2 linked regions of the Macaca fascicularis genome follow. The main gene of each other region encodes a partner of the protein of the gene in region 2 in a complex. Links are inferred from orthologs where the notes say so. Each region holds a gene or a part of one and is shown on either strand. Other genes may lie near its edges.

Evidence for each region. Proteins that work in one complex are often made in the same cells at the same time.
Region 1: TAF11 (region 2) and TAF9 share a complex: the UniProt entries of both Homo sapiens proteins name them as parts of the TFIID basal transcription factor complex. The link is inferred for Macaca fascicularis from reciprocal best matches to the Homo sapiens genes TAF11 and TAF9.

The regions. Positions count from the first base shown.
Region 1 is NC_088380.1:75,041,649-75,046,135, forward strand, and holds the start of TAF9 (transcription initiation factor TFIID subunit 9), read right to left. Parts: upstream 2,861-4,487; 5' UTR 2,800-2,860; coding exon of another isoform or gene 2,772-2,799; intron 1-2,771. Other genes in the region: AK6 (adenylate kinase isoenzyme 6), read right to left, coding at 2,772-2,799. UniProt on the Homo sapiens protein: The TFIID basal transcription factor complex plays a major role in the initiation of RNA polymerase II (Pol II)-dependent transcription.
Region 2 is NC_088378.1:136,805,372-136,809,763, forward strand, and holds the start of TAF11 (transcription initiation factor TFIID subunit 11), read left to right. Parts: upstream 1-1,418; 5' UTR 1,419-1,503; coding exon 1,504-1,674; intron 1,675-4,392. Other genes in the region: ANKS1A (ankyrin repeat and SAM domain-containing protein 1A), read right to left, coding at 1-52. UniProt on the Homo sapiens protein: The TFIID basal transcription factor complex plays a major role in the initiation of RNA polymerase II (Pol II)-dependent transcription.

The DNA of each region.
Region 1 (4,487 bases), on a different chromosome or scaffold from region 2:
TAGCCAGGCGTGGTGGCACATGCCAGTAATCCCAGCTACTCAGGAGGCTGAGGCAGGAGAATCCCTTGAACCGGGTGGTTGGAGGATGCAGTGAGCCGAGGACGCGCCACAGCACTCCAGCGTGGTGACAGAGACTCCGTCTCCAAAAAAAAAAAAAAAAAAATTAGCCACCTCGAATCAATTACAATACTTTATTTACCTTTTTCTTCTTTTTATTTATTTTTATTTTATTTTTTGAGACGGAGTCTGGCTCTGTCGCCCAGGCTGGAGTGCGGTGGCCGGATCTCAGCTCACTGCAAGCTCCGCCTCCCGGGTTTACGCCATTCTCCTGCCTCAGCCTCCCGAGTAGCTGGGACTACAGGCGCCGCCACCTCGCCCGGCTAGTTTTTTGTATTTTTTAGTAGAGACGGGGTTTCACCGTGTTAGCCAGGATGGCCTCGATCTCCTGACCTCGTGATCCGCCCGCCTCGGCCTCCCAAAGTGCTGGGATTACAGGCTTGAGCCACCGCGCCCGGCAACCTTTTTCTTCTTTTAAAGTCAAGATATCTCTTTGTTACCCAGGCCAGAGTGCAGTGGAACTTGGCTCACTGGAGCCTCCACCTCCTGGGCTCAAATCCTATCTCAGCCTGTCCAGTAGCTAGGACCACAGGTATGCACCAACATGCCCTGGTTAATTTTTGTAGAGACGGGATTTGGCTATATTGCCTAAGCTAAGCTCAAACCCCTGAGCTCAAGCCATCCCCCCACCTCCACTTCCCAAAGTGCTGGGATTTACGGGCATGAGCTTTAATTTACAGGCTCGTTTGCTTGGCCTATTTGCTTTAATTTAAAAAGATTTAAAAACTGTTCATTGGCCAGGTGTGGTGGCTCACGCGTGTAATCCCAACAATTTGGGAGGACAAGGTGGGAGGATCACTTAAGCTCAGGAGTTCGACACCAGCCTGGCCAACATGAGACTGTCTCAAACAAAAACAAAAACAAAAACTGTTCATGTTAAAATTTAAGCAGTCTTGGCCGGGCGCGGTGGCTCAAGCCTGTAATCCCAGCACTTTGGGAGGCCGAGACGGGCGGATCACGAGGTCAGGAGATCGAGACCATCCTGGCTAACACGGTGAAACCCCGTCTCTACTAAAAAATACAAAAAACTAGCCGGGCGAGGTGGCGGGCGCCTGTAGTCCCAGCTACTCGGGAGGCTGAGACAGGAGAATGGCCCGAACCCGGGAGGCGGAGCTTGCAGTGAGCTGAGATCCGGCCACTGCACTCCAGCCTGGGCGACAGAGCGAGACTCCGTCTCAAAAAAAAAAAAAAAAAAAAAAAAAAAATTAAGCAGTCTGAAAGACACCGTATTACCTCTACTGACCCCTTGCACCCTTCCCTAGAGATAACCACTGTAAACCAGTTTCCTATACAGGTATATATTCCCAAAAAAACCCTATTTATGTTTGCATATAAATGTACATGTATGTATGTACATACTCTTTGTAATAAATACAATATATATTCCCTTGTACATAAATGACAATACTATATACATTGTTCTTTACCTTCCTCTTATGATACCTATTATAATTACATTTCAAGATCATCAAATTCATAATTTTCAGCTATTCAGGTTTAACATCCCTGAAATTAAACTTGAGCATACAGATAACAGGGATAATCCAGTTCCCTTATCTAGGAGAATAACAGCCACCCCAAGTCCACTATAATACACCAAGTCTGAAGTCTGGACTCAACATGTTTTCAATAAAATGCTCACTTTTATTGTCAAAACATTTTCAATAAAATGTTTTGACAATGACTTAATAACCAGGGCACTATGTTTGATCCATACAAAAAGATGTAAAATCTTCTGCTTAAGGAATCTAAAATGCTAAACATTATTTGTGGGGTGGTTAATCTGCATCTCTCAGAAACAGACATGTCTTGTGCGCTGCCAACAATCTTACGTTTGGGTGAATGATGTAACTGTACTGTTTCCACAGAGTCTTAATTTTTCTGTACGCTACAATAAAATCTACATGCATTAGATTTTTCCACGAATGGCCTACAATTTAATAAACGCTTTCAGGACTGAACGGCTAGCAAAAATATTCGTTGAAGTCGTTTTGCAGCATTTTAGTTCCCTTTACTGATAACACGCACCCTGAGTATGGCTTCAAAGACCCACTCCTACGCGAGAAACGACCCGAAATGCTCACTAGATGCCTTCTTTTTAAGGGGCGGGGGGAGCCTCTGATGTAACTCAACAAAAGCATACAGTAATTTCGTCACGCCACAAACATCTGAACTCATTTACCGAAATCTAATCTGAGGCGTTTATCAGAAGCAAAGGAAAAAATAAAATACGGCCCACGGAGGCCTAAGGAGTGAGGAATCCACCATTAATGGCACTACTGGGAAGCAGATATGGCCTTATTTCCCTGAAAATTTCAAAGCCTACCCTGCCAAAGAATTAACAATCCATTTTACAAACGAAATACCAGATTCCGAAAGACTAAGCGGGTTGCTAAGCAGAAGAGCTGGATCTGCCGACCTCTCTTCACCTCCCCCGGGAGCCTCGGGCCAACGGAAATAACGTTCCGCGTCCCCTCCCCCGCCTGCCGCAACGCCCGTGAGGGTCGGCTCCCGGGACGCTGACAACCGCCTCGTGGCCCTCTGCAGGCCTCCGAAGACGGCACTGAGAAACTCCTACCTGGGCGCCCGATGCCCAGAACACTCCGCGCCCCTCACCTGCCCCCGCCCATCCCCTCCCGGCCGCGCGCCCTGACCGGTGAGCAGGATGTTCGGAAGCAACATGGTCCCCGCGGCGACGGCTCCGGGCGCCTAGCTCACGTGCCCTTTGCTCTACGGGGAGGAGCCGGAAGGGGTGGGCGACAGCAAAAGCCCACGGCCCCAAGGGCCTCGAGGCCCACCGCGGCGCCCCTAGCCTGTCCCTGCGACCCAGCCGCGGCCCACTGGTTACCTGGCTTTCGATGACACATTTCCATCGCAAAGTTGGAGGGTGGGCGTAACTCGGGTCGGTACTTCGGGTCAGGCAGTGCGCTGGATGTCTAAGTAACACACTCCTTCGGAGGTCCCCGCCCTTCGCTTGCGTCGCTGATGCGCCGACCAGTCTGGAAGGTCCCCGGGAGGCCGTACCTCCGAGAGGCTCGGCGTTGAGCCCGGGTAGGGCCAGGTGGCTGCCCTTTCACGTAGGTTAGACCCCGGTCGCCTCAGCTCTTTGCCCAAAAGGGGATGCAACTCCGGGAAAGTAAGGCCGCCGCGGTTGCGGCTATATTACGTGTATGTCTTAGAGACGCGAGTCTATCTCTGCCTTCGAGCTTTCCTGGGCTCGCGTCGCTCCTCCTCCCGACCCGCCCATCCCATCTGGGGATGAGAAGATTGAGGGTGCAAAGCCCTGTCCTGCAGCGGGGATTTGCGAGCTCAACCCGGCACCCCACTGATTATAGGATTACGTTGAACGAATATTTGAGCTTGGTATACCCTGTTCACTGTGTGGGGTGGTGGTGGGTCGGCTAGGAATAGTCTTGAAGGTCTGCCTCTGACATCTCATTTCAGGAACCTGGCATCTTCAGGGACAGTTACTTGCTTTTTAAAGGAGGTAATTGTCAATCTTGTTTTCAAGGGTGAATAGAGCCCTGACCGTGACAGTAGTCTTCTTTTCTTTTGGCGGGGGGGTGCGGAGTCTCACTCTTGTCGCCCAGGCTGGAGTGCAACCTCCGCCTCCCGGGTTCAAGTGATTCTCCTGCCTTAGCCTCCGGAAGGGCTGGGATTACAGGCGCCCACCACCACGCCCGGCTAATTTTTGCATTTTTAGTAGAGATGGGGTTTCACCATGTTTTGGCCGGGCTGGTCTCGAACTCCTGACCTCAGGTGATCCTCCCGCCGTGGCCTCCCACAGTGCTGGGATTACAGGCGTGAGCCACCGCGCCCGGCCCCTGGTCTGCATCTTTTATTTTGAGCTGCAAACTATATTTACTCAAATAGGTGGTTTTTTCCCACTTGTGTATCTGTTGAAACGTCACAGTCTCTAATCCCGAACGATTTGGGGCGGAGGGCTGAACAATGTGTTTTCTAGTGTGTCGGGGTGCTTATAGGCTATGTGTGCCTCCAAACTGTAAAATAGTCCGGTATACTTTCCGGTGTATAAGTTTGTAGGCCTTAAAATTTTTTTCTGGCTAACTTAAAATTGTTGAATTCACTAGTTTTGCATAAACGTTTAAGCATTTGAAAACACGGTTGAAAACCACAGTGTTACCAAGAAATGTTCTAATAACGTGTTCAAATGAAAACAAAAATTTTACAGTAAGACTTAAATTCTTCGTCCACAGCAAGTGAATTCATGGTATTTTACTTTTTTGGGAAATATTGGAAATGAAGAACTGCAACTGTAATTTGAAATTAGGAAAACTTTAATTTTCAGTATAAAAATTGCTCAAATAAAATTGCCTAATTTTAATGACAAAAGGTAAGTACATAGTATG
Region 2 (4,392 bases):
CCGGGAGGTGCCCGGTGCGGGCCGCCTCCAGCAGCTCCTGCTCCTTCCCCATCCCCAGGGCCGCCACCCGCTGGACCCCCCTCCCCGGGGCTGCAGCCGAGCCTGCTCGGGCTCCCAAACTTTCCGTCTCCGGGCAACGCACCCCCCAAACCGGCTGGGGACACCACCCCCCCTCCCTGCCTTTTCTCCACGAGCGCGTCACTTCCGGGATCCGGCGTCACGCGTCACCGCGCCCCCGCGCCCCGCCCCCTAGCTCACCTAGCTGGGCGGGGCTCCGCGGACCAGCGCAGGTGGATTTTGCTGTGCCGAGACAGGCCTCACGGGTTATGGGGACAGCGCCTTGTGGGTCCCCATTATATAGGTGGAAAGGGACAAACAGGCCCACCTGTACGCGCCTCCCGAAGTGCGCTCCTTCCCTAAACGTTTTGGGAGCTCCTGGGACAGGAAATACGGCAATTCGTCCAGGCAGCGCAGAAACAAAGAGATAAATATGGTAACGCGCACCTACATTTCCAAGGACATTCTTTAAGCACGCATAAATTAAATATGTAATAGGTGCTGGGACCTAGTCATACCCAGGTGAATAAAACGCCCTCCCCCTCGTATCTCTATGAGGGAAGAGAAGAAAATTTTAAAATAGAAATATCCTCACCACTTCATCCTCCCAGTACATGAACTAGTTCGTTAAAGTGAAACGTTCGAAGGAGACACCTTCCTCTCTTTAGGCTTTCCTCTTAGTTTTGGTAAGATTAACCAAAATGATAGAAAAGTGTCAGACTTGTAGAAACAAACCTCAATCTTGAATACTTGCGAACTGAAAAAAAATCATTTAATTGGATAGAAACTATGTGTGTTTTGTTCCCTGGTACTAGCACTGTTTCTAAATCGAAGTACGCAGTCAATAGTTGTGGATGAATAAATGAATTGGATAAATTCTGCTCAAGCTAGATGACTTTTTGTTGTTAAGGTGCTTGCTGAATGGAGCGGAAATGCTAGCAATTCCACGTACACACAGACCCGCGGTTTCGGGCCAGTTGAAATACACAAGGTTGAGTCTTGCCTGAAAGTTTACCAATCCCGGGTAGCCTCATTCCACGACACCGCCATACAACGGAACTGAGTTTTCTCCCGATCCCCCAACTTTACTCTGAGGGGTTAACGAAGGGATTAACTGGTATTGAATTTTTAGACAGGCGAAAAGGAAAAAGTTATTTAGTAAACAAAACTGCGCTCCTTCACAAGTGCTGGTTTCCTAGCTAGGAGGATCCATAGTCTGAGCTCTTTACGTCCAATTTTCCCGCTTCCCACTGTCGCCAAACCAAAGTTAAAATGAGTCCTCTAGTCCTCTACGCGCGCCTCAAAATGACCCCTCAGGAGAGCGGTAGGGGTGATGTCATCGCTGCGCGACGACAGGAAGTAAGATACTGTCCTGTGCAGCTCGGGGTTCCGAGCTTCTGCCTCAGACATCGCCGCGATCTCCTCTCCCCTCCAATCCTATCCGTGATGGACGATGCCCGCGAGTCGCCCTCCGACAAAGGTGGAGAGACAGGGGAGTCGGATGAGACGGCCGCTGCGTCCGGGGACCCGGGGGCTACCGACACGGATGGAATCCCAGAGGAAACTGACGGAGACGCAGATGCGGACTTGAAAGAAGCTGCAGCGGAGGAAGGCGAGGTAGGAAGAGATGTATCGATGAGGCTGAAGGAATACCCAGAGATCGTGTTACTGGGTGCTTGCCGGGCTTCTGGTTAGTCCCTCCCAAGTTACGAGAACTCGAACTCACCAGAACTCCCTCCAGATCGTTAATCTTGAGGGGGAAGAGAGCGGACGACCAAACAGAACTCCAGTGCTGGTTCCGTTCCAGAGGCTCAAGCACTGCGTTAATATTTTTAGTCTTGTCAAGGGATTAAAGCTACTTCTAAGGGAGTTTTAATAGCCTATTGGCTTTAGTGGTGAGGAAACTGGGATCCAGTGTCACACTGAGACGCAGTGCAAGAGCTAAAACCCAGGATTCGTAGCACCCCTTTCACCGCAATATGGTTCGTCTTAGATGTTAAGACAACTTTGTTTCTTTATAGGAAGGAGGGTCGATCAAACCTGTCAAAGGGAGATAGACTTTTATAAAAGTGTCGCCCGGGCTGTAGTACAATGGCGCGATCTCTGGCTCACTGCAACCTCCGCCTCCCGGGTTCACGCGATTCTCTTGCTTCAGCCTCCCAAGTAGCTGGGATTACAGGCTCACACCACCATGCCCGGCTAATTTTTGTATTTTTATTAGAGACGGGGTTTTACCATGTTGGCCAGGCTGGTCTCGAACCCCTGACCTCGTGATCCGTCCGCCTCGGCCTCCCAAAGTGCTGGGATTACAGGTGTGAGCCACAGCACCCGGTGATCAGGGACCCATCAGTTGGGTCTGGTGTTTTTATGCTACAGAGAGTTCAGCAGTGTTGCCTAGCTGAACATTGGTCAGGACCAGAAACTCATCGTTCTCTGGATTACATTTCTGGAAGTAGAATCTTGGGGTCTTAGAGCTAGAAGGGATTTAAGAGATCGTGGGGTGAACAGTAGATTAGATGGAAATAGCCTTTCAGTGTATAAAGTTGCATAAAAATATATAAAGTAAGAACTTTTAGAAAAAGAGAAAATTTGGCCGGGTGCAGTGGCTCACGCCTGTAATCTTTGGGAGGCGGAGGTGGGTGGATCGCCTGAGGTCAGGAGATCCCCAATATGGGGAAACCCTGTCTCTACTAAAAATACAAAAATTAGCTGGGCATGGTGGCAGGCGCCTGTAATCCCGGCTACTTAGGAGGCTGAGGCACAAGAATCGCTTGAACCTGGGAGGCAGAGGTTGCAGTGAGCCGAGATCGCACCACTGCACACCAGCTTGGGTGCCAGAGTGAAACTCCGTCTCGAAAAAAAGAAAAAGAGAACATTTGACAAAAGTATTTTAAGGCAGGTTTCTTTTTTTGTTTTTGTTTTTGTTTTTGAGACTGAGTACTCGCTCTGTCACCCAGGCTGGAATGTGCAGTGGCGCGATCTCGGCTCACTGCAAGCTCCTTTAAGGCAGTTTTTGTTGGTTTGTTGAGACAAGGTCTCACTCTGTCACCCAGCCTGGAGTGCAGTGGCACAGTCTCTGCCTCCTGGGCTCAAGCAACCCTCTTATCTCAGCCTCCGCAGTAACTGGGATTGCAAGCATACTGCACCACGCTCAGCTGAAGTTTTTGTATTGTTTTGTTTTGTTTTGTTTCGTTTTTGAGACGGAGTCTCGCTCTGTTGCCCAGGCTGGAGTGCAATGGCGCAATCTCGGCCTACTGCAACCTCCGCCTCCCAGGCTCAAGTGATTCTCCTGCCTCAGCCTCCCCAGTAACTGGGATTACAGGCACGTGCCACTGTGCCCAGCTAATTTTTGTATTTTTAGTAGAGCCAAGGTTTCACCAAGTTGCGCAGGCTGGTCTTGAACTCCTGACGTCATGATCCATCTGCCTCAGCCTCCCAAAGTTCTGGGATTATAGGCATGAGCCACCGCACCTGGCCAGCTAAAGGTTTTTTAAATATTGTTTTGGTAGAGACAAGGTCTCATTATATTGCCCAGTCTGGTCTCCAACTCACTGGGCTGAAGTAATCCTTCCGCCTCAGCCTCCCAAAGTGCTAAGATTACAGGTGGGAGCCACCATGCCTGGCCAAGAAGGAAACTTTAAAACAGGTGTCAAGGACAGCAAGGATTTGAATAATTAGCTTGGTACACTAGAGAGCTCACTACATATATAAATTTGCACCGAACAGAGGATAAAATTATGTTGTTTCTGAAACACTTTTAAAAATCAATCATGTACTAGACCATGAAGAAAAATATGAATTCTTAAAAGTAGATATCATAACAGGCCACATCTTGTTAATGCAATGCATTAAACTTGAAATTAACTACAAAAAGCTTCTCCCCCACCAAAAAAGAACCCCCTGGAAATTTTAAACTATTTTTTAAATAGCCTTTAGACTAAAGAAATTAACAGAACACTTTATCAAATGATATGGGATTTGGCCAAAGCTTTATTTAAAGAAAAATGTATAGCCTTACATATTTTTATTAACAACCAGAAGATACTGCAAATAAGCACCTGACTCAAGAGACCAGATAAAGGGCCTAGTGGAGTAGGTCACACCTACAGACCTAGCTACCTGGCAGGCTGACACGGGAGGATCACTTGAGGCTGCAGTGAGCTATGATCCAGCCTGGGCAACAGAGTGAGTCTGGGGAAAAAACAAACAAACAAACAAACAACAGATAAAGAACAAAATAAATCAGAAGAGTGTAGGAACAAGGAGTTAATAAGGATACAAGTAGACACTAATGAATTAGCACATTAAAAAACATAAATGATAAAATTAAAACCT